5 linked regions of the Bombyx mori genome follow. The protein of the gene in region 1 purifies or fractionates together with the protein of each later gene. This does not show direct contact. Links are inferred from orthologs where the notes say so. Each region holds a gene or a part of one and is shown on either strand. Other genes may lie near its edges. The genes, in order: serine/threonine protein phosphatase 6, chaperonin containing t-complex polypeptide 1 beta subunit, serine/threonine-protein kinase polo, mitogen-activated protein kinase kinase kinase 7 and TIP41-like protein.

Region 1 (4,271 bases):
CAGCTCCACGAGGACTTACTGACCTGTACATTAAAAAAAATGTATTATTACATGTTTTTTTTTATAATCATTTGGATCTGGGTTCTCCACAATTAAAACACTAAATCTTATCATGATCATACTGACACTTAGTACACAAAGTGACCTAGTTTGGACCACAAACACTATAAAGTATTAGAAATATTAGAAATAATATACAGTCAAAATCTGTTATAACGACATCGAAGGGACTGCTCATATTCAGTCGTAAAAACCGATAGTCGTAACAACCGGTGATGTTTAATGTGTATCGCGCAAGTACAAATAAATCGATAGGGAATTATTGGAAAAATATATTTACATAATACGCGATTTTTCTTCAATATTAATTTGTTTTCTTTTTTTTTGTGACATTTTTAAAGTTTCATGAATAACTCCACAAAGTTTTGGTGCGTCTTGTGTATAGATAAGTAACAAACTAACTGAAGAAATATGAAGAAGCGGACTTTGACTACCGCATGCACGTGTTTTGTTTCTAAGAATTAGAAAAGACCCTACACTAAACTAAATCCTATTGTTTTCTTTCGTGATTTTAAAAGCCATTGAAGACAAATGTGGATACCTATTCAAATTGTTTACAATACAGCTTAGCCGGTCGTTCTAACAGATCTAATTCTCCGAAATATTAGTTAAATGTGGTCGTTTTATGAGGTATGTCGTAGAAAGCAATATTTTTAATAAGGCGGTCATATGGCATTCAGCCGGGACCTTTGTTCTTGGTTATTATAACCGGCATGTTGTATTAAACGATGTCGCAGTAAACGGTTTTGACTGTAATAATTATACAAAACACAAGATTAAACCGTAAAAGTACTTTTAATTAGTGAGGATGAGTGAAACCAGACAATGTCTTACCCAGAGCCTACATTCTACATCTTTCATATACTCTACATCAGCATTAGCTACATACTCACCACATTTTCACATCAGCAGGATCTGACCACAACAAATCACAGAATGCACCTTTGTGTGGAATTTGTTGATTTCTATCAATGCATCTTATTTGATCAATCATAGATATTTCTGGTGATAGACCACCGTGCACACATAGGACGGTTTCATCAATTAACTGTAAAAGTTGCTGACTTAAATGATTTGTTGTAACATAATCTAATTTAATTTTTTTATTGCTTATATAGATAAAGGAGTTTACGGCCCACCTATTATTAAGTGGTTACTAGTCTGTAAACATGAACAAAAGCCAATCTTATCCCCCACCTCGAGACAAAGTTCTAACTCTGTTTTGCAGTACAATGCCTGCTTCATCTTAGAAATAAGCGCGATAATGATATCTACCTGTGCCGGTTAACAAGATGCCCTACCTAAATTAATTATACAAATTATACTTAGTACATACCTAGTTGGTTCAATTTTTATTACAAATTAGTAATCCTCCATCATGGAAGTCACTTGGACACATGTGTTCAGTACTTATATCATTAGAAAAATTGATACCATCATTTTATTGTTGAAAATGTTATTGACTTCGTTAAAATTGCAAAATTGTCTGAAGTTTTCAGCCATAAAACTATGACAAACATGAACCATAATCCCAATTTATTCTTAAGAAATAAGCTTTATAACTAAAATTTTAAGCTAATTTATATTTTTATTTTAGATAATATTTATTCAATGTCCACTTACTGCAGCAACAGTGAGCAAATCAAAAACTCTGCAACAGTCTTTCCATGCATTTGCATTTCCATATTTATTGAGACATTCATCATAAAATCCATAAACCTTAGTTATTTGACATGTTTCATGATTACCCCTTAATAAGATTATCCTGAATAAGAAGATTTGAATATAAATATTATTAAACAAGATGTTGAAAGGCAATGTGTATCAACGAAATAATATTGACAAAAAAAAACAATATTAATTTTGCATCCATAAATACTTATTATCTGGAGTTACCTTTATTTGTATATTATGAAAAAACTTATTCTGATTAATGGGGAAATTTATTGATTTCATATAACCTCAATCAATATTGATATAATGATAATTGATATTAATAATAATTGATATAATTACGTAACAGCAATATGTATTTTTTCATCCATATCTTTGACTTAATACTTTAAATTTTTTAAAGTACAACTCACCTATCTGGATATCTAGCTTTCAAGGCCATGAGCAAGGTTAGTGTTTCTAAACTATAATATCCTCGATCCACATAATCTCCCATAAATATGTATTTTGTATATGGCACTTGACCACCTATGTGAAAAAGCTCCTCTAAATCATAGAACTGAAAATATTGAAATTACATTTTGAAATATAGTTTTTCTACAGGAGCTCTTAGACATTTCATTACTAAACATTTCATTATTATTATTCTTATACTTATAATTGAATTTACAATTTATTAGTTGCAGTAATTTAGAAAATTAACTGATGGTTTTATCCAACAAACTTTTTTAAATGATTTAAGTTGTAAAGTCACAAGAGAATAAGCTGGTTAGTTTTCCGATGTAATTTTAAATGTTTCAGTTGGATCAGGCAGCTTACCTGTCCATGAATATCACCACAAACCGTCACAGGTGTCTGTACCGGCTGAACATTAGGTTCTTCAAGTAACAAATCACAAACTATATTGCACAGTTCCCGTAGGTCATCTTCCGGGAGGTATTTGCATCTCTTTGCAACTTCTATCCATTTATCTATATCCGTCATTTCTAAAACAAATTAAAATATATTTACGGATAAACGAAGAATGGCCTTTTAACCTTAATTTATATTAAATGCATAAATCCGAACTAGAGGTAAATGAATTGCCTTAGACTGGTTGACAGTGACAGACATGCAAAAGTGGCAGTTCTCTGTTCCGTTTTTCTAATTGGAAAGGCGAAGATGTAACACCATACTGTCTAATCTTTTGTAAATTATGTTTTATGAAAAATGACATGGAGCAAAAGGAAATAACTTGATTAATTTGAGCCGTTAATCAATTAAGAAATGAAACGAGATAATATTATCTCATTTGTAGAGCCTTTAATTAATTCTATATAGAATTAATTAGATATATAGAATTCTATACAGAATTACTTAAAGGCTCTACAAAATAGTGGTCATTTATTGAATTTTTTGGAGATCCTTAGAAGTTATGTCTAGCGGCCTTGTTTCATTTTCCCACAATTGTGTCCTTTTACAGATGCTAAACAGTAAACGACCATCACTACACGTTTAAAACTATAAAGACACTAAATTATAAAAAAAAAAAATCACAACTCGTAATCCTCGCGCTCTCCCGCCCAACCGACTGCATAAGGTCCCCAGTCCCCAGTTGACTTGTTGTAAAATAAAATAATTTCATGTTGTGTTTGAAGATGTCTCTATTCCACATTCTCTAATGTATAATATGTGATATGAAACCGCCAATTTATAATTTGTCTATTTTAAAGGCAAAGACAAAATAATTTTTGGCCTATGGTTATATTACTGGGTTATTAAATCGATATCACGATGCTTAATTCGACCAAAATAATCAAATGACGCAAATAGTCAAGAAGTAAACAGATGTATACTGGATTTTGAAAAACATAAGCTGTAGGTATATAGATTCTGATTCTGAAGATTCTGTACTCGTTTAGACAGTACGTCAGTGTACCCATTAGCCGCTTCATTGCCCCGTAGACTACCAGTCTGCAAAATTCTGCACCTTATTATGCCCCGTAGACCACAAGTCTACTAGATTTAGGACCATTAAATTGCCCGTGTGGACTAGTGGTCTACAAGCCCTCTTGACTTGACCTTCCTCTAGTTTTATGAATATTATCCGTCTTGCTCGTTCATTAGTGTGTTTATATATATCTTTCCTGCTTCTTTGATAAATTTCCAACCAAATAAAACCAATAGACCGTATTCCAGTCCTGGAAAAAATTATAAAAAAACAAAAAACAAAGTTGAAGTTGTCATTTGCAAATGTGTGGTTCGCGTGTGCTGTGATATAAGTGTCGTGCCGCATTGTGAAGAATTTTAATACTTACGGTGAGTATTTTTACTTGATTTTTTATTATTATCAAGGTAAGTAAACTACTAAACTGTAGAAATAAAGTTTTCAGCGTGAAACACAAAATTTGTCCTTTTCTGAACCCGATAAAGTTGACGGTATATTTTGGGCGCGCGCTTCCCGGCTAACGTAATAGCTGCCGACGAAGTCCTTCGGAACGTGGTAGGACCGGAAACCGATCTGCTTCATTTTGACTGGCGAGGCGAGCCGGAAAATT
Region 2 (4,019 bases), on another chromosome or scaffold:
CTAAGCAAATACAAAATAAAAACAACTTATGACTCACTGACTGAAAAATAATAATTAAGAACCAATATTTGCAACAGCAATCAGTTTTGTATAAGAATAAGTAATGTATAATAATAAGTAATCTATAATAATATTTTCTGAGTATCCAAAAATAGAGCAATTATACAAATCTTTATAGCAAAACAATCTCACCTGTTAATGAAGACATTACATTTGTGTGCTAAAATCTTGTTCACTTTGTCCTTCATTTTCTCTTTCTCAGCTACTTCCAATTCAGCAATCTTGGCCATTGAATCCACTTTAATTGTGGAACCAAACACTTTAATCTTGTCAGTGTCCATTGGTGTGTTTGCAATAAGGATGTTAGCATTTTCTACTTTCTTTGGTTGATGTACACCAACCTATAAGAAATAATATGCCCATTAAAATTTTTGTATCTATAGGTACTGTTTTTCTTTATTAATGTAATGATCAAATAGAAAAACTAAAGAGCACTAAAACTCAATCATTCAAAGGTTTTTTTAAAACTTACTTTTTTGTTTAGCAAGAACCCTTCATCCAAGAATGACTCTTCAAGAAGACCTCCAGATATTTTGATAATTTGGATAGCTTTTAAATTACCAGATCCTTTCAAACGCAAAACTGCATCAACTGCTAATTTTGTGAAATGCCTGAAAGAATATTATACAGTTTATACTGTCTTTGGCCTGAATATTTATGCAACTATGTTGTATGTATATCGTAATGCCTATTGGCTCTGATAGCACTTGAGACTAAGTGCACTATTGAGGCTAATTAAAAAAATACCTCAAGCTTTAGTAATTTGGATAAAAAATATAAATCTCGGCACTACCTTTGGTTGACTGGTAGAGAATGCCTTAGGCATTAATTCCGCCAATGTAAATTTAACATGAAGTGTAATAAATAAATAAAAATCTCATAAAACATTTCACCCCATTTGTACAGTTTCTGTGTTAAAAAATATGAGAAATGACTTTAATTAACCTCTGCTTTTTGGGCTTAGATAATCTGATGCCAATATTTTCTAGATAAGCTGACACATAGACAAACTACAGTTTTTTTTATATCTGCTATTAAGCTACAGCTAAATGACAAAAGAAATTATGATTCTTAGCCAAAAGTTATAATTATTCAGCCATTACTGGTAAATTTACATTATTTTTAAAGCAGATTCTCATGACTTATACTCTTTTTACGCTCAACTCATTGATATAAAGTTGTCCTCTAAATCTTTGGTGATCACAACTCTAAAAAAATCAGAACTTAGACATTCTAATGAAGACCCTGATTGCAAACACTGGTAGATAAAATTGAGTTGCCCTACAAAAAAAAAATACACATAGTAACATTAGCAATACAGCAATAAGTCTTGGAAAATAAAAGACCTAATGAATTAAAATATATGTATATCTAATAATATTGGAATTAATATACTAGTATGTCACAGATATAGCTAATAAATAAAGATATTTTTCAATTGGTATTGAAAACAATGTAATTTCACAGTATACTGGTTTTCACTACTCACTCTTTGTGATTTGAAAGGATCTTTGAGCTCAGTGTGGTCCGTGCGATGTTTTCTAAATCCACTCTTAATGAAGCCTCATTTAAGTTCTTCTGATGATCAAAGCTAGCTTCTGCAAGAGCTTGTTTGGCTGCATCAGAAGCAATTCTCCAACCAGCAATGATTGTTTGAGGGTGCAGTTTTTGTTCAATTAATTTTTCAGCCTCTCGAAGTAATTCAGCAGCTGAATTTAAATAGAACTTTTATCATTATGAGATGCGTTTACATGAATTACAAAAAAAAATCTGATTATATGTTAAAAATAGTATATTTACAAACATATTTCAACTATTTGGTAAGTTTTTTTAAATTTATAACAATGTACAGAGTCAATGTGTTGGCCGAGGTGTTTCCCTAGCGCCTTGCTTGCTTGTTCTTTTTCAAACGAGGCTTGTGGAGAGTACTCAACAGTGGGCAGTGGCTTAGCTCTGCCCCTGGCATTGCTGAAGTCCATGGGCGACGGTAACCACTTACCATCAGGTGGGCCGTATGCTCGTCTGCTTACAAGGGCAATAAAAAAAAATTAAATTAAAGACAACATTATTGTCACTAAAGTTTAAACTAACCCAAAACTGTAACAGATGTGGTGCCATCTCCGACTTCTTCATCTTGTACCTTAGACATATCTACTAGGATTTTAGCAGCAGGATTATCCACACCGATAGATTTCAATATCGTAGCACCATCATTTGTTACTTCGACCTGAAGCGAAAATTCTTTATGCATAAAACATTTCAAAACACAGCATACATTATTAATGTTTAATAAAAAGACAGTTAATTTTACCTGACCAGAGTTCCTCCCGCAGGAAACTAAGATCTTATCCATTCCTTTGGGACCTAAAGTACTCTTTACCAAATCTCCTATGGCAATAGCACCGATGAAACTGGACATCCGGGCAACTTCAGCTTTCTCCTCTTCTGCTTCATTTTTAAGGATACGAATTGGATTTAATGATACCTGTATTAAATTAATTTTAATTTAGAATTACATGTACACGTGCGTGAGGTTATACGGCATCGGGTTCTATTTTCACTTAGTTTTCACTGAATACGTCGTTTTTACTTATAAGTATCAGTAACAATGAAGATACGTTAGATTAAATTAAAGATTTTACTAACCATTTTGGATGAAGGACCTAATTAATTATTTTTCTTTACGCTTTTATCGGCTACAATGCACAAAGAGAAAAGGGAACGACCGAACGACCACTTTGATCACTAATAATGTATACTCTATGTCATGTATTATCTATGCTCTATGTATTTGCTCTCTGTTTTTTGCTAAACTTGTCTATTGGAAAAGCAAAGGGAACGAAACTCATGTAATGAAATCTTGTATTACAAAAATCAAAGCCTCGTATGAATATTGAAATGGAAGTGATTTTACAAATGAAATCGAAGAATGAATCTTTGGTGGAAATGCAAATTGATTGACCGAAGTTATGCGAATTCATTTATTTTATTAGTGAATTGTCTCCTCAGATTAAAACGTGTGTTCATAGTAATTTATTAATTAGGGCAGCTTTGACAGGGAGAATTGAAGTCAATAAAATCGCTGAACGTTGTTTATGATCTCTTTTTTTTTATCGTCACATTTCTGTCGCCATAGCCGAACCTAAAACCACTGCGTTTTCAAAAAGATTTCTTGCTACATACAATTTAGTTTTGGAATAAACTCTCCTCCATTACATTTTTTGAATACTATTTGACCTGGTTGTGCTGTTGATGATGATCATGAGCGATGGTTATAAACATATTTCAACGATGGCGAATAAAATTGAATAAATGGCTGTGGTTTTTGTTACAAAATCGTACTAAAGTTCATCCGTATATACCTTATACACTGCCTTAAAATAAAGTTGAATACCACTGCATCAAATCGTTAAATTTCATCAAGTTACCAGCTTTGAAACGTTATAAATGAAATACAAAAATCTCGAAATTTTACTATTTGAAATCTATTTATCGATTAAAAATCGTTTCATTTTGGTTAAGCAATCAATCTTAGAGCGCCATCCGCCATCCCTAATCCTAATATTTCTATTTAGTCTGTGGTGACGCCATATTTACATTCTACGCCCGTCACCAGTGACCGAATAATAATATTCTGCATTAATCTAGTTACATTCACATTGAAATTTAATAAAAACAGTTCATAATATACAGTAAAAATGGAAGAACAAGGAGGAAGTTCCGCACCAAGAGTAAGCGACAAACGCTTGGCACAAACACAAGCCAAAGTAGATGAAGTTGTTGGCATTATGCGTGTCAATGTCGAGAAAGTTTTGGAAAGAGACCAAAAATTGTCGGAACTAGATAATCGCGCAGATGCGCTGCAACATGGGGCTGCACAGTTTGAACAGCAAGCTGGAAAACTTAAGCGCAAGTATTGGTGGCAGAATTTGAAGATGATGTTAATTATAGGTGCTATT
Region 3 (3,957 bases), about 7.6 Mb from region 1:
CAAAGTCAGTAAGTTTTGCATCAAATGGAATATAATATGTATTAACAACCAAAGACACATATTTAAAGAATAAAAAAAAAAGTCGAAAGTTTTGCTCATATACTGAATCGGCAAAATAATTTGATGCTAAATCATTAAAAAGTATTTACTAAATAAATAGACAGTATCGGTGGATTTTTAACCTAAGTTTGAAATTTTAGGGTACAAAATTGATTTTAGTGACCCTTCTATTAAATTATAATATACTGGTGACTATCCTAAAAATACAAAAGGTAATATAATTTTTATTTTAGAAAAGTAGGAGACCCTAGGAAATTTAAGTGTAAAGATTTTTTTTATCAAGTACAGACTATCTCAATCAATAAGAACAGAATGATGAAAATTTGTAGTGATTTCAAACTTTTTTGCTATTTACATAAGCAGGGTCTCTTGGTTTACACAGTTCTTCATTGGAGCTTTCCACAAAGCCCACAAATTCATTTACTCATTTAGGTTCAGTGAAAACTAGCACAGTTTGTTTGCCAATACACTGTTTAGTTTTTCCAATGCATATGTGAGGTTTGTGTAAAGCTTTTTATCACAGCCATGCTCTTCAATGGTATTAAAGCGGAATGTTCTGAAATTCTTCTCTATATCTATGTAGGTGACAGCTTGCATAAGTGGACACAGTATTATCTTTGTGTGATCTTGGAAGTTTATCTGTAATATTAGAAAAAAAAAACAATCATGATGAGAAAGAAATATAACAGATCAATAAAAATTATATGCCAACAGCATTAAAATATAATTCTACTAACCTGTAAAGTTCCATTAGTCAGGTACATAATAACAGCTAAAGTTGTTCGAAACCACTGGTGTAAATGTGGCAAACGAGACAGACCATCACTCTCTCGCACTGGTACTGAAGCACCTGGATAATGGTAAATTTATTTAAAAGCGATAACATTGTTGTTAAGTATGAATACATTAGTTACTCATGCCATAAGAAAACTATTGCTCACACATTTTGTTTTCTGAATATTCTATTTGATTTATATGCTTTAGTGATGACAATGGATGTTGAAAAATTTACCAGCTTTCATGAGATGTTCGGTCATGTATCGTCTAAAGTATGTAAGGAGTTTCATTTTTTTGTCGAGTTCTTGCGGGTAATCGCGCATCGTCATGTACTGCTCTTGGCCCTGCCGATTGATGTAGTGCACATTCCTGAAAAAGGATAGTTTATGCAGATCTCCTTTTATTTTTTCAGATAGCAATATGAAGATTTTGTTGCTTGCTAATCTGCACATTACAGTCATAATACAAAACAATTGAGAATCACGCCGCAAGGAATATGCTATTAACATATTATGATGTCTATGGATTCTTATCACTTGTATAAAAAAGTGTATTGCGAATTTTTTTTCTTCAAAATATGTTTAAAGTTTGTGTGAGCTATGATTTGATTCTAATTTTGAGTGTGCAATGCATTCGTTTTATGACATATTATACTTTGATTCTCATTATAAAGATATAAAAAAAAAAACTATTTTAAGCTTTAGTGATTCGAACGTGATTTCGAATTTTAGTGAGTTCGAAACTGTTGCAAGCGCCTGTTGTATACTACTATAATATAATATAATTAAAAATATGTATATCTGATATTATCATCTAATATTTATATTAAACGTAAACTTACAGTCCATTAGCGAGCATGATAAGCTTGGTAGTATCGTTGAACATGACACCGACGCTCTCGTCGCAGAGCTGGTATCCGAATCCGTATTTGTCGCTGTAGTCGACCCACTTGCCAACCCACACCAGCGGCTGTGCTGCGGGATCGCTCAGCTCGTCTGTCAGAGCCTCCGGTCGGCATTTCAGCTAAAAGTTATAGAAAATGCCAACATACAGTCAAACTAGTTGTTTATAATTAAGTTACAAAAGTTCCATAAGATGAAGAGTTTATCAATTTATTTCTACTTATGATAAGGTTATCAGCGTATACCAGTTCATAGCACGGTCCTGCCCTATTTCAAAACTAGAGCCTATTAAATGTTATTTAGACCATAGGTATTTTTTCTCATCTATACATATAAATAAAATTGGAGTGTCTATTTGTAATATTGAAATAACCGCTTTTTACTAAGCGCATAATATGAATATATATACGGTACATATACCAAAATAACATTTTTAACAATTTTTGTCGGTCTGTTTGTTCCGGCTAATCTCTGGAACGGCTAGACCATTTTGACGAGACTTTCACTGATAGGTAGCTGATGATATAAGGAGTAACTTAGGCTACTTTTTTAAGACTAGCTTCGCCCCGCGGCCTCACTCGCGGTACGACAATAACCGCGGGTAACATCGCGAGACTCAGCTATTAATTAATAATAAAATTTAATGTTTCCGAAGCGAAGCGAAGGCGGGTCGCTAGTATTAATATAAAAAAAAACTATATTTTACCTTGTTAACCAACAATGCAGCGAGCTGGTCTCGCAGTGCAATAAAATTCTGGCGGTGCGACGTTGGTTCCACAGCTCGTGGCCCCGCGGGGGTAGCTTCGCGTTTGACGGGCGAGTCCACTGCCATCGTCTCTTGTTCTATTCAATTGAAAGTACGTATTATAAATGTCAATTCATTTATGTTGAATTTTAAAGTAGCTAATTATAAAAGGAGAAAAATGCTGCTTTTTTGATTCTATGAAGATTTTGATGTGCATAAGTGCTCCTTAATGAATCTTCTATCTATCTATCTATATATATAAAAATGAATTGCTGTTCGTTAGTCTCGCTAAAACTCGAGAACGGCTTGACCGATTTGGCTAATTTTGGTCTAGAATTATTTGTGGAAGTCCAGAGAAGGTTTAAATATGAAAATGCTCAGAATTGAATAAAAATAACAATTTTGTTTTTCTTTGATGTGTACCCCGTCAAACGGATTCCTTTTGTTTGTTTTAAGTTTATTTTATGCAAAAGTTTAGGTCTTTTTTTTATTTATCGATTGAGGCACTACGAAGTCTGTCGGGTCATTAATAAAGATCCGCGCATATCCGACATATTCTTTAGTGTTCATCGTAACTGCGATGATATTTTACCATTTAAAACTATAATTTCTTTAATTATTATTGAACTCTCCCTCATCAATTTATGAGGGAGAAAGTCTCGAAGTCTAGCCTGCGATTAAATAAATTACAATATATGCACCGTTAGCATGAACTTCGTTAAGAGGGCGGCGGTGTACCAGCATGCCCTCGAGCTGGTCAGTGCGCGGCGCTGTGGTGAGGCAAGAGACGGGCAGCCCGGCTGGCAAAATCCCCGATGAGAAGAATTCATGCTGCAGAAGTTTGTCCACGGACGGACGACGCGCAGGGTTCGATTGCAACTGCAGTACAATCATGGACGCCGCCGGTTTGCGAAGCGACGACGGAATCCTGAAGATATATTTGATTGTTCGAGATCGACAAACGTGAAGACCAAGGGAATTGTTATATTAGAAGGCCAGAAGAACAGTAGTCATAGAGCTATACCAACAGGGATGTCAATTTTATAACACTAGGCCTGCACCAGACTACAACACGAATGATCACATTGTAGTCTGGTGCCTGGCTCTGGTTGACAATCGAGTGAAGTGTTGGCTCTAGTGACCAAATTTCTCAGTTAATAACAAAAAGTTACTTTAACTCTTAGAATTAGGAACTCTATATACAAATAGTATTATTTTCCTAATTCAGTTTCAACATATTATATAGTATAGTAAGTAGTACATAGTTTGTTTTATAATATTGCGTTATTAATAATTCCTAGTAATAATTTTAAACTTAGTGCTGTTTTAAATTTTAATGATTGAGATTGAAATACATTTAGATTCGAAATTAGAAACATTTTTTACATTACTAAGACTAAGTATGACTTGTGTTGTAAGTTAAGCAGACGTTAGAAATATCCACAATACATAAAGCTGCACATCATGATCACC
Region 4 (3,974 bases), on another chromosome or scaffold:
TAGTAGATGAATATAAAAAAAAATAGACATTTAAAAGTAAGCCCACGAGAATTATAATTTGTGTAACTGCCATTCAATTGAGACATATACACCACAAGCTGCATGGCAGCATTCACATTGTAATGTCTATAGGTTTTGGTAGCCACATAACATGATTTTTTTTGTGACACATGCACAAAGTTCAGTTACATTTTCGTTTTGGTAATTCTGTTTGTAAGATGTTTGTAAAATGCAATCCAAACGTAACTGTAATACATGATTTTATAAATAATAGTCTCACTTATAAAATAGCTTCATGTGAAAGCTGAATTCTGACTCTTTACTGTTTAATATTTGATGAAGTAAAATTTAAAAGACAGCCAAACTGCTCAGTTCAAAAGGTTGCACCTTGAGAGCAATTAATAGTTAAAATGAAACATACCTTGGCCATGCTTGGTCTTTGTGCTGGTATTTTGTGCCAACATTGTGTCATCAGCTGCTCTATTGGCTCCGGGCATCCCTCTATTAGATTTGGTCTTTGACCTGAAAATTCACAGTTATGTAACTGAAATTCAGGCATCAGCATATTATTAATTCAATTACCCTAAATATTAAAATGATTGTGATAAATACACACAAGTCAACAATAGTAATTTTTTTGTCTTGAAAAAATTTTTTGGTCATATCCCTATTTTCTACACTTAGGTTATTAACCACAATTTCTATTGTGATGTAGAGATTTTCCATTAAGATCTTTTTTCTTAAAGTTTATCCTGTTTTCACACACACACATAAATACAGGGTCTTAGTAGCAGGTTAGGATAGTAGCACTGAACTCTTCATTTCCATAAGCAAGAGTAACCAATTATGATAGGTGACCCAATTATGACAGTACGCTTCGAGATGTGATTCTCAGTTTGATCCACTTTATAATCAAGCAAGTGTGAAATTTTTAACACACAGTCAATCGAAACTTGTTCGCAACCATAATAGATTTCTTAAAATTTAATAGCACGAATTTTTTTGTCATAATAAGCATATTGGATGAAAATTAGTAAGTTTTACCATAATATCTAATCAACGATCAACTATTGTATCTTCACTAAATAACAATTTAAATAACAGATCAAACCTGTATGCACCGCCCACATTATTCTATATGCAGAACCACCTTCTTCAAATGGTTTCCTCCTAGATAATACCTCCCACAGTATTATCCCCCATGAGAACACATCACATTTTTCTGTGTATGTTGATCCTTCAAATACCTGAAAAACATTAAACAGTAATGTTTTAAAAGCTTTGAATTATAATCTTCCTATTCATTTATTTCTTCTATCTAATATAAGGCATTGTGGTTAAATAATATTTAAAAGCATAATGATTTAAATTTTAAATTCAGCTAAGCTTAAAATATTTCTATACGCTAAACAATTTGCTGAGTAATTTGTAATTTCACCTTATCTTATTACACACAATGAAATTCAAGTTATTTTGGTTTGGTTTCAATAACTATTAGTACTTTAAAGTTTTTCCTTTTATAATCCATGCAATTAAGTTTCATTGTGGCTTTTATTTTTATAAAAAAGTTATAAAAGTAAATATTGATTTTATTTTCCGTACTCTTTTTCAAAGATAATGTTTGTCCTTATAATTTTAAAATACTATTAGATGCTGGTAATAATATTATAAAACTGAATGAAGCAGAAAAAGTAACAAACACAAAATAATAGTTATTTCATTTTCATCGTCATTATAATGATCTTAATTATTTATAGTCAAGTTTAGTTTATACATATAGTTTAGTAGTAAAGTTCTATTATTGCATTACACTGTTTTTGGAATACAAACCTCAGGAGCCATCCAAGCAGCACTGCCTTTATTATTCGTCATGTATGTTGCCTTATCAGCTGCTGTGCCAAAATCACAAATCTTCAGGCGTTGCCCTCCACCCACTAATAATAGATTGGGTGGTTTTAAATCCCTGTGTATTAATGGTTTTGGTTTCATGGAGTGAAGGTATGCTACACCCTAAAACAATGGTATTTTTAATCCATTGCACAATTAAAAATAATTTTGTATTTAAGATAATACTTAATATAATACACTGGCTTTTGTATTTTGATGATCAATAGTAAATTATTACCTCAGCGCACTGGCGGGCCCAGCTCATTGCATGTGCTGCTGTGTATTTGGGTTTGGGTCGGTTGTGTAGTACATTATAGAGAGAGCCACCTTCTGCATACTCCATGACGAGGCATACGTGAGCACCCCGCGTGCACGCTCCGTACAATCGCACAATGTTTGGGTGACATACGCGAGATAACTGGCGTACCTCGATCGCAAATTCACGTTTCTCCGCCTCTGAATTTATGTGCTTTACCGCTACAAATCTGTTCCGCCATACACCCTTCCAGACAACACCGAAGGCCCCTTTCCCTACGACCTGTCGAATTTTTAAGAATCTCAGAACATGCTATTAAAAACTTTGATTTTGTCAAAACGTATCTGTGTCCAAATATTTACCGAAAGCTCCTGTATTTCACTGTAATCAATCTCCTCCACAAACGTCTGCTGATGAACTGGCGAGTCTTGCACATTGGAACTATTGGAAGCCATTGGTACACTTATTATCACATTATCAATATGACTAGAAAGATTATACAAGCCTTATGTGTTACAAACTAATAAGTTTTCTTTATAAATTGGTAAAAATAGTTGGTTAACTCAATTTCTTCAGTATTGTTTGGCAGAAAAAAGCAACTGCGACAAGGCCGCCATCTTTGAAACTGTAGAACAAATGTCATATTTCGATAGAGATGTGCCGAGCTCATTGTTGACATTGATCTATCGGTAGGATTTACAAAAAAACTGTGGTTTTTACACTTTGAGTACAGAAATAGCATTTAATTAATAAGAATAATATGCCAAATTAATTAATTATTTAAGTTTTTTTCTGAGAATGAGATGTTTATTTCTCCCGGATTAGTAGGTATATTAGTTATGACCATTTTTTAAAATATATTTTCCTGTTTAATGGTTGTTTTTATCCTCATCTAATATATAAAATTCTCGTGTCACAATGTTCGTTCCCATACTCCTCCGAAACCGCTTGACCGATTCTCATGAAATTTTTTATGCATATTCAGTAAGCCTGAGAATCGGCTACTATCTATTTTTCATACCCCTAAGTGATTAGTGTTGTCCACCCCTAACATTTTATTTTTTATTTGGACTTTTTTTTTTGTTATAATGAGGTATTATGTGGTTGAATGAGGTTTTGTTATTTTATTATATATTCCCTCATCGTTCACAGCACTACATACCTCTTTCACTCATTTACCACATCCTTACACACTTACAATAAGTTAGTTTTTTTTTCTACCCTAGAAATTCCCTAGAAATCTTATATATGGCAAAACAATGTTTGCCGGGTCAGCTAGTCATTATATAAAATCTTCTACATTTCGAGCCTGTGTTGTTCCAGATTGGCTATAGCTTACAGTTTATTTACAGTTTTTACCGTCTGCGAGTCACATTGAAGGCGAAGACAGTTGTATCTGGGAGCTCCTTCTTTTTGGTCGTTCCCTCAATGCTGAGGATCGTGACTGTATGTCAATCTTCTCCACTCGGTCCGGTTCTGCGCCATATGTACCGCTCCCCATATCTGGGAGCTCCTAGATCCATTCATCTCTTGGTTAGAAATACTAAAAACCTAGAGTTGTTTCTCTGATATGTAGGTATGATGTTAAAGTACGAAGCAGTTAATATTTGAGACCGTGGAGGTCTCACACCTTAAAGATGAAATTAAGGTTCAAGACACCTCAATTTCAATATTTAAAATTAATGCAGTTAGTATATTGAGTCATTATCGAATTTTAATTTCGCCGGTTTAAGGGAGTAAGTAAAGCTAAATTGGCTTCTAAAACGGGGGTCTTCCTTAGGAAAAAGATTTTCCTCTGGTCGTACTTGCACTCATAAAACGCAGCGGTCTA
Region 5 (4,178 bases), on another chromosome or scaffold:
ATTTTTATAGCGTTGATGGTTGGACGAGCTCATGGCGCACCTGATATTAAGTGGTAACCGAAGCCCATAGACATTTACATCGTAAATGCCGCCACTCACTTCGAGACATGAATTCTAAGGTCTCCGTTTTTACAGTGCAACGGCTGCCCCACACTTCAAATCGAAATGCATTACTGCTTCACGGCAGAAAAAGGTGAGATGGTGGTGCTTACCTGTGCGGTCTCACTAGATGTCCTACCACTAGTAAATTCTCACTAAAAATGTGTGGAGGTATACGAGAAAGGGAAGATCTTCCACCAAGCGGGTGATATTGCTCGGTAGACCGACGGTCCCAAAATTTATATTTCGGAATTTGTATATAAGCAAGATAATCTTGAAAATATGGTAAGCGAGATTGAGGCATCTGTCGAATATTTTGTGTTCTGTGATGGCAACCACCACAAATGTGATCGAGAATTTAAGATTTGATTTGTCTGAGCTGATTTTTAAGTAGAAAAAATGGGTTGCCTGTAAAGTTGGCTTGCGGAAGATAGTTTTACGTGATTAGTACGTCATAAGAAACACTGATGAAAAATTGTATACTTTAATTAATTGAATTGAATTAATATCACTGAGTTATAATTTTTTATAAGGAATTAATTGAAAATTATTATTTTTTTCAATAAATTAACACTTGTGTCGATCGTACCTTTCTAACGGTAGTTTCGTTCTCTCGCTTGCACGTTCAGGCTCAGGCGGAACGTGTTACTTTTTCGTGTGTGCAGCCCGTTTTTATTGATTTATAAGACGTTATCACGTCAAAATAACATACAAGTTGATCATTAACATGACACAATAATATTTCAGGAACGCCGTGACATCTCTTTCATCAATGTAGGTTCAACGAGAGCATTTTATGGTAGGTAGCTGATTAGGTAGATGATGTTTCTACGACAGGCAGTGTCCGCGGGCGTCAGACCACTTTCCATCAAGTGGATTGTCTAATTAATCGCTTGTTAATACAAAAAGACACTAACACTAACTACATAGCCTTTTACATAGAAAACCTATTTTTTCTGTAAAGATAAATTCATGAAATTAACTGAAATTGAACTGAATAGGAGGAAATCAAGTTTTTTATTTATTAATTAATATTTTTAGCATGTGCTTCACTTATTGTAATTTATATTATGGTTGATTCCAATCGAAACAATAGCTTAGTGAAACTCGATTTTATAGTTTCTGAAAACGATTCACTGGGTCAACTGCTTGTTTACTATCGATTTTTTTTAAATTAGTTCTTCGAAAAGTAGATTTCAGACCACAGTCAAAAGAACTCTTAAATATTAAATGTGTATCTATGCTAAAAACTAGGTATAACACAATCAAAGACTTGACCTAAAGGTCTTAGTTACCAGGTCATAAAATCCCTTAAAAAATTATCACACTCATAATGACGTCCTACCGACTTAACTACTTATTGGTATAGAAATAAATACATAAATAAACACTAAATAGGGGAAACTGTGACCGAAAAAGTGTTTGGTGTATATTTTGATGTTTACTTTAATTTAATATAAAATGATTTAAATGCAATAACAAAGATTAAAGTGAAGCATCAAGTAATAATTACTAATAATTAACCAAAACTCTTGTTGTTTATCAGCTGAAAATATATCTAACGTGCCAAAATGTTTCGACCAGAAGTAAAGATCCTCAATTTACATAATGTATGATTATTGAAATAATTAAATTTTCTGACAGCCTCTTAACTTACAGGAAACAAATGTTGATGCCGGTCGTCATACGTCTAATTCGCAGTCCATTGAATTTGGTCCTTGGCATATTTCGTATGATGTCAGCCGTATACTACCCAGTATGTGTGCCACTAAGGTGGTTTGCGAGAGAGATGACGACCAATTTTGTCAGTTCTGCACGTAAGTAATAAGTAATCGTTAAATTGATTGAACTGAAATATAGAAACCGAATTGCAATGTTTGTATGAGTTTTCGTTGTTTCAATTATGGTTTTCGGTTTTACATTTGCTTATTAACGTATGTCCACTAATTATGAGTACAAAATGACAAACCTAGTTTAAAGGAGTAAACGGAGTGTGTAGGTGTCAACATAAATACTCACTGCCCTTGACATATAAGGTCAGTCTCATTTGCATTGTAAAAACAGTTATTCTATTGTACATGAGAATCAGACTAACCCATAACTGGCCCATAACAAAAAATTGCAATCATTGTACTGGCATCTATAGAAAAATTATCAATATTTCCCTCACCACTGTTAAGAGAATGTGCGATGTCCAATCTGATCTCTATTCATGTTACTGTTACCTGATGTTATAGTCATATGTATCAGATAGTTCGGATGTTCTCAAACACCATTCAATTTGAACCGAGTTGTACTTATTGTAATAGGTGGCTCACTAGCTGGGAATGCTCACATTACTTAAAAGTAAAATTAATATGTTCATAGTTGATTTATCAATTCCAGTTACTCTAAAGAGCTGAAGATTCCACATTTCCCTGATATGGTATTTCCAAAAAACAGATTAACATTAGCACATAAAAGCGGTGCTAGTATAAACTTTAATCCTCTGGATGCTCTTAAAAGGGTGGCTAGCACAGTGGAGCCAGTTGAAGTGTCCTGTTCTGAAGTGTGGATGCAAGCACGGTAATGAAACCTATTTAATCTGTGGGCTTAACTTTATTAATTGATGTCATATTTACTAAAATTGGATTTAGTGAAAAATACAATCTAATATAAGTTCTAAAAATTATTTGTTAATAAACTCAAGATATTATTATTCAAAGATTTATGGGTATATTGAGTAGATGTAAGAAGGGATACCTTTTATTGCTATTGTAAGATATAGCTAAAAATAAAAAAAGGTAAAAACAACGGACTTATACAAAAGTGACACCTACATTACCCATAGACATTTATTAGAACCTTACCTATTTTTATTTAAACAAAATATTCTTACAGTTGTTACAACATTATTTTTATTGTTGATAAGATACTGTTTTGGCAAATCATTGTAGTGCCCTCTTGCATCCAATTGGTTTAATAAGAGACTGAGAAACAAGCGTTTCAATGTTTGAAGTCATCGTGGCCTAAAGGATAAGACATCCGATGCATTCATATCTAGTGATGCACCAGTGTTCCTATCCCGCTGGAACGTACCAATTTATCTAATGAAATACGTACTTAACAAATGCTCTCAATTAACTATCGTGGTGAAGGAATAACATCGTGTAATAAAAAAAAAACCCGCCAAATTATAATTTGTGTAATTACTGGTGGTAGTACCTCTTGTAAGTCCGCACGGGTAAGTACCACCACTCTGCCTATTTCTGTCGTAAAGCAGTAATGCGTTTTGGTTTGAAGGGTGGGGCAGCCGTTGTAACTATACTGAGACCTTAGATTTTATATTTCAAGGTGGGTGGTGGCATTTACATTGTAGATGTCTATATGGGGTCCGGTAACCATTTAACAACCAGGTGGATTGTGAGCTCGTCCAGCCATCTAAGCAATAAAAAAAGTATTATTACAAATGAGTCGACTATTATCAAAGCCGGCAATGTGACTTTTGGACAATTATTGGTAAATCAGAAAAACGAATGATTGACTTTGTATTCCATTGGCAGTCACAAAACTCTTCTGAACGACATCTTAGATAAATAACAGGTTAAGTATTAACCTTTATTTAATGCAGGTTTTGAACCGTATTCTTTGAAGGAGACGATTATATTCAAATCAATCTGTATTGACATAACAATAACATTTTTTTGTCAAAATGCACAGATTGCCATCTTTGATAATAGACGACTCAAATAACAGTATTAACACAATGGTTGAAGTACATATGATGAATATTTTTATTTTAGACCATATGCAGAAAAGTTGAAGAAATCATTTGATTGGACTTTTTGTACAGATTACAAAGGATCTATCAGTGATAATATTACAGTTTGGGAAACTGAAGAGTCTATTGATTTTGAACTGTTAAAACAGAAAAACCAGATACTCTTCTACCATGATTTGACTTTATTTGAAGATGAGCTGCATGATCATGGTGTATCAAAGCTCTCAGTGAAAATTGTAAGTACACCATTAATATTTAGAAAATATTTAACATAAAGGATATATCGGGGCAAATATGATGATTCACCTACTTATTATAA

Evidence for each region.
Region 2: the proteins of serine/threonine protein phosphatase 6 (region 1) and chaperonin containing t-complex polypeptide 1 beta subunit purify together in Homo sapiens (affinity purification with mass spectrometry; 4 studies listed by BioGRID and IntAct, with this or other methods). This does not show direct contact. The link is inferred for Bombyx mori from reciprocal best matches to the Homo sapiens genes PPP6C and CCT2.
Region 3: the proteins of serine/threonine protein phosphatase 6 (region 1) and serine/threonine-protein kinase polo purify together in Homo sapiens (affinity purification with mass spectrometry; 4 studies listed by BioGRID and IntAct, with this or other methods). This does not show direct contact. The link is inferred for Bombyx mori from reciprocal best matches to the Homo sapiens genes PPP6C and PLK1.
Region 4: the proteins of serine/threonine protein phosphatase 6 (region 1) and mitogen-activated protein kinase kinase kinase 7 purify together in Homo sapiens (affinity purification with western blotting; 3 studies listed by BioGRID and IntAct, with this or other methods). This does not show direct contact. The link is inferred for Bombyx mori from reciprocal best matches to the Homo sapiens genes PPP6C and MAP3K7.
Region 5: the proteins of serine/threonine protein phosphatase 6 (region 1) and TIP41-like protein purify together in Homo sapiens (co-immunoprecipitation; 4 studies listed by BioGRID and IntAct, with this or other methods). This does not show direct contact. The link is inferred for Bombyx mori from reciprocal best matches to the Homo sapiens genes PPP6C and TIPRL.

Annotation. Positions count from the first base shown.
Region 1 is NC_085121.1:5,013,277-5,017,547, reverse strand, and holds the start of serine/threonine protein phosphatase 6, read right to left. Parts: upstream 2,802-4,271; 5' UTR 2,719-2,801; coding exon 2,554-2,718; intron 2,294-2,553; coding exon 2,148-2,293; intron 1,826-2,147; coding exon 1,684-1,825; intron 1,109-1,683; coding exon 954-1,108; intron 24-953; coding exon 1-23.
Region 2 is NC_085119.1:8,629,995-8,634,013, forward strand, and holds the start of chaperonin containing t-complex polypeptide 1 beta subunit, read right to left. Parts: upstream 2,804-4,019; 5' UTR 2,710-2,803; coding exon 2,707-2,709; intron 2,546-2,706; coding exon 2,372-2,545; intron 2,288-2,371; coding exon 2,152-2,287; intron 1,770-2,151; coding exon 1,550-1,769; intron 672-1,549; coding exon 533-671; intron 402-532; coding exon 193-401; intron 1-192. Other genes in the region: synaptobrevin-1, read left to right, coding at 3,759-4,019. UniProt on the Homo sapiens protein: Component of the chaperonin-containing T-complex (TRiC), a molecular chaperone complex that assists the folding of actin, tubulin and other proteins upon ATP hydrolysis.
Region 3 is NC_085121.1:12,625,161-12,629,117, reverse strand, and holds the end of serine/threonine-protein kinase polo, read right to left. Parts: intron 3,413-3,957; coding exon 3,186-3,412; intron 2,583-3,185; coding exon 2,446-2,582; intron 1,861-2,445; coding exon 1,679-1,860; intron 1,207-1,678; coding exon 1,073-1,206; intron 911-1,072; coding exon 798-910; intron 700-797; coding exon 505-699; downstream 1-504. UniProt on the Homo sapiens protein: Serine/threonine-protein kinase that performs several important functions throughout M phase of the cell cycle, including the regulation of centrosome maturation and spindle assembly, the removal of cohesins from chromosome arms, the inactivation of anaphase-promoting complex/cyclosome (APC/C) inhibitors, and the regulation of mitotic exit and cytokinesis.
Region 4 is NC_085109.1:9,467,086-9,471,059, forward strand, and holds the start of mitogen-activated protein kinase kinase kinase 7, read right to left. Parts: upstream 2,803-3,974; 5' UTR 2,599-2,802; coding exon 2,506-2,598; intron 2,426-2,505; coding exon 2,126-2,425; intron 2,011-2,125; coding exon 1,831-2,010; intron 1,248-1,830; coding exon 1,112-1,247; intron 523-1,111; coding exon 422-522; intron 1-421. UniProt on the Homo sapiens protein: Serine/threonine kinase which acts as an essential component of the MAP kinase signal transduction pathway. Plays an important role in the cascades of cellular responses evoked by changes in the environment.
Region 5 is NC_085119.1:10,607,696-10,611,873, forward strand, and holds the start of TIP41-like protein, read left to right. Parts: upstream 1-1,368; 5' UTR 1,369-1,670; coding exon 1,671-1,685; intron 1,686-1,743; coding exon 1,744-1,916; intron 1,917-2,484; coding exon 2,485-2,664; intron 2,665-3,881; coding exon 3,882-4,095; intron 4,096-4,178. UniProt on the Homo sapiens protein: May be a allosteric regulator of serine/threonine-protein phosphatase 2A (PP2A). Isoform 1 inhibits catalytic activity of the PP2A(D) core complex in vitro. The PP2A(C):TIPRL complex does not show phosphatase activity.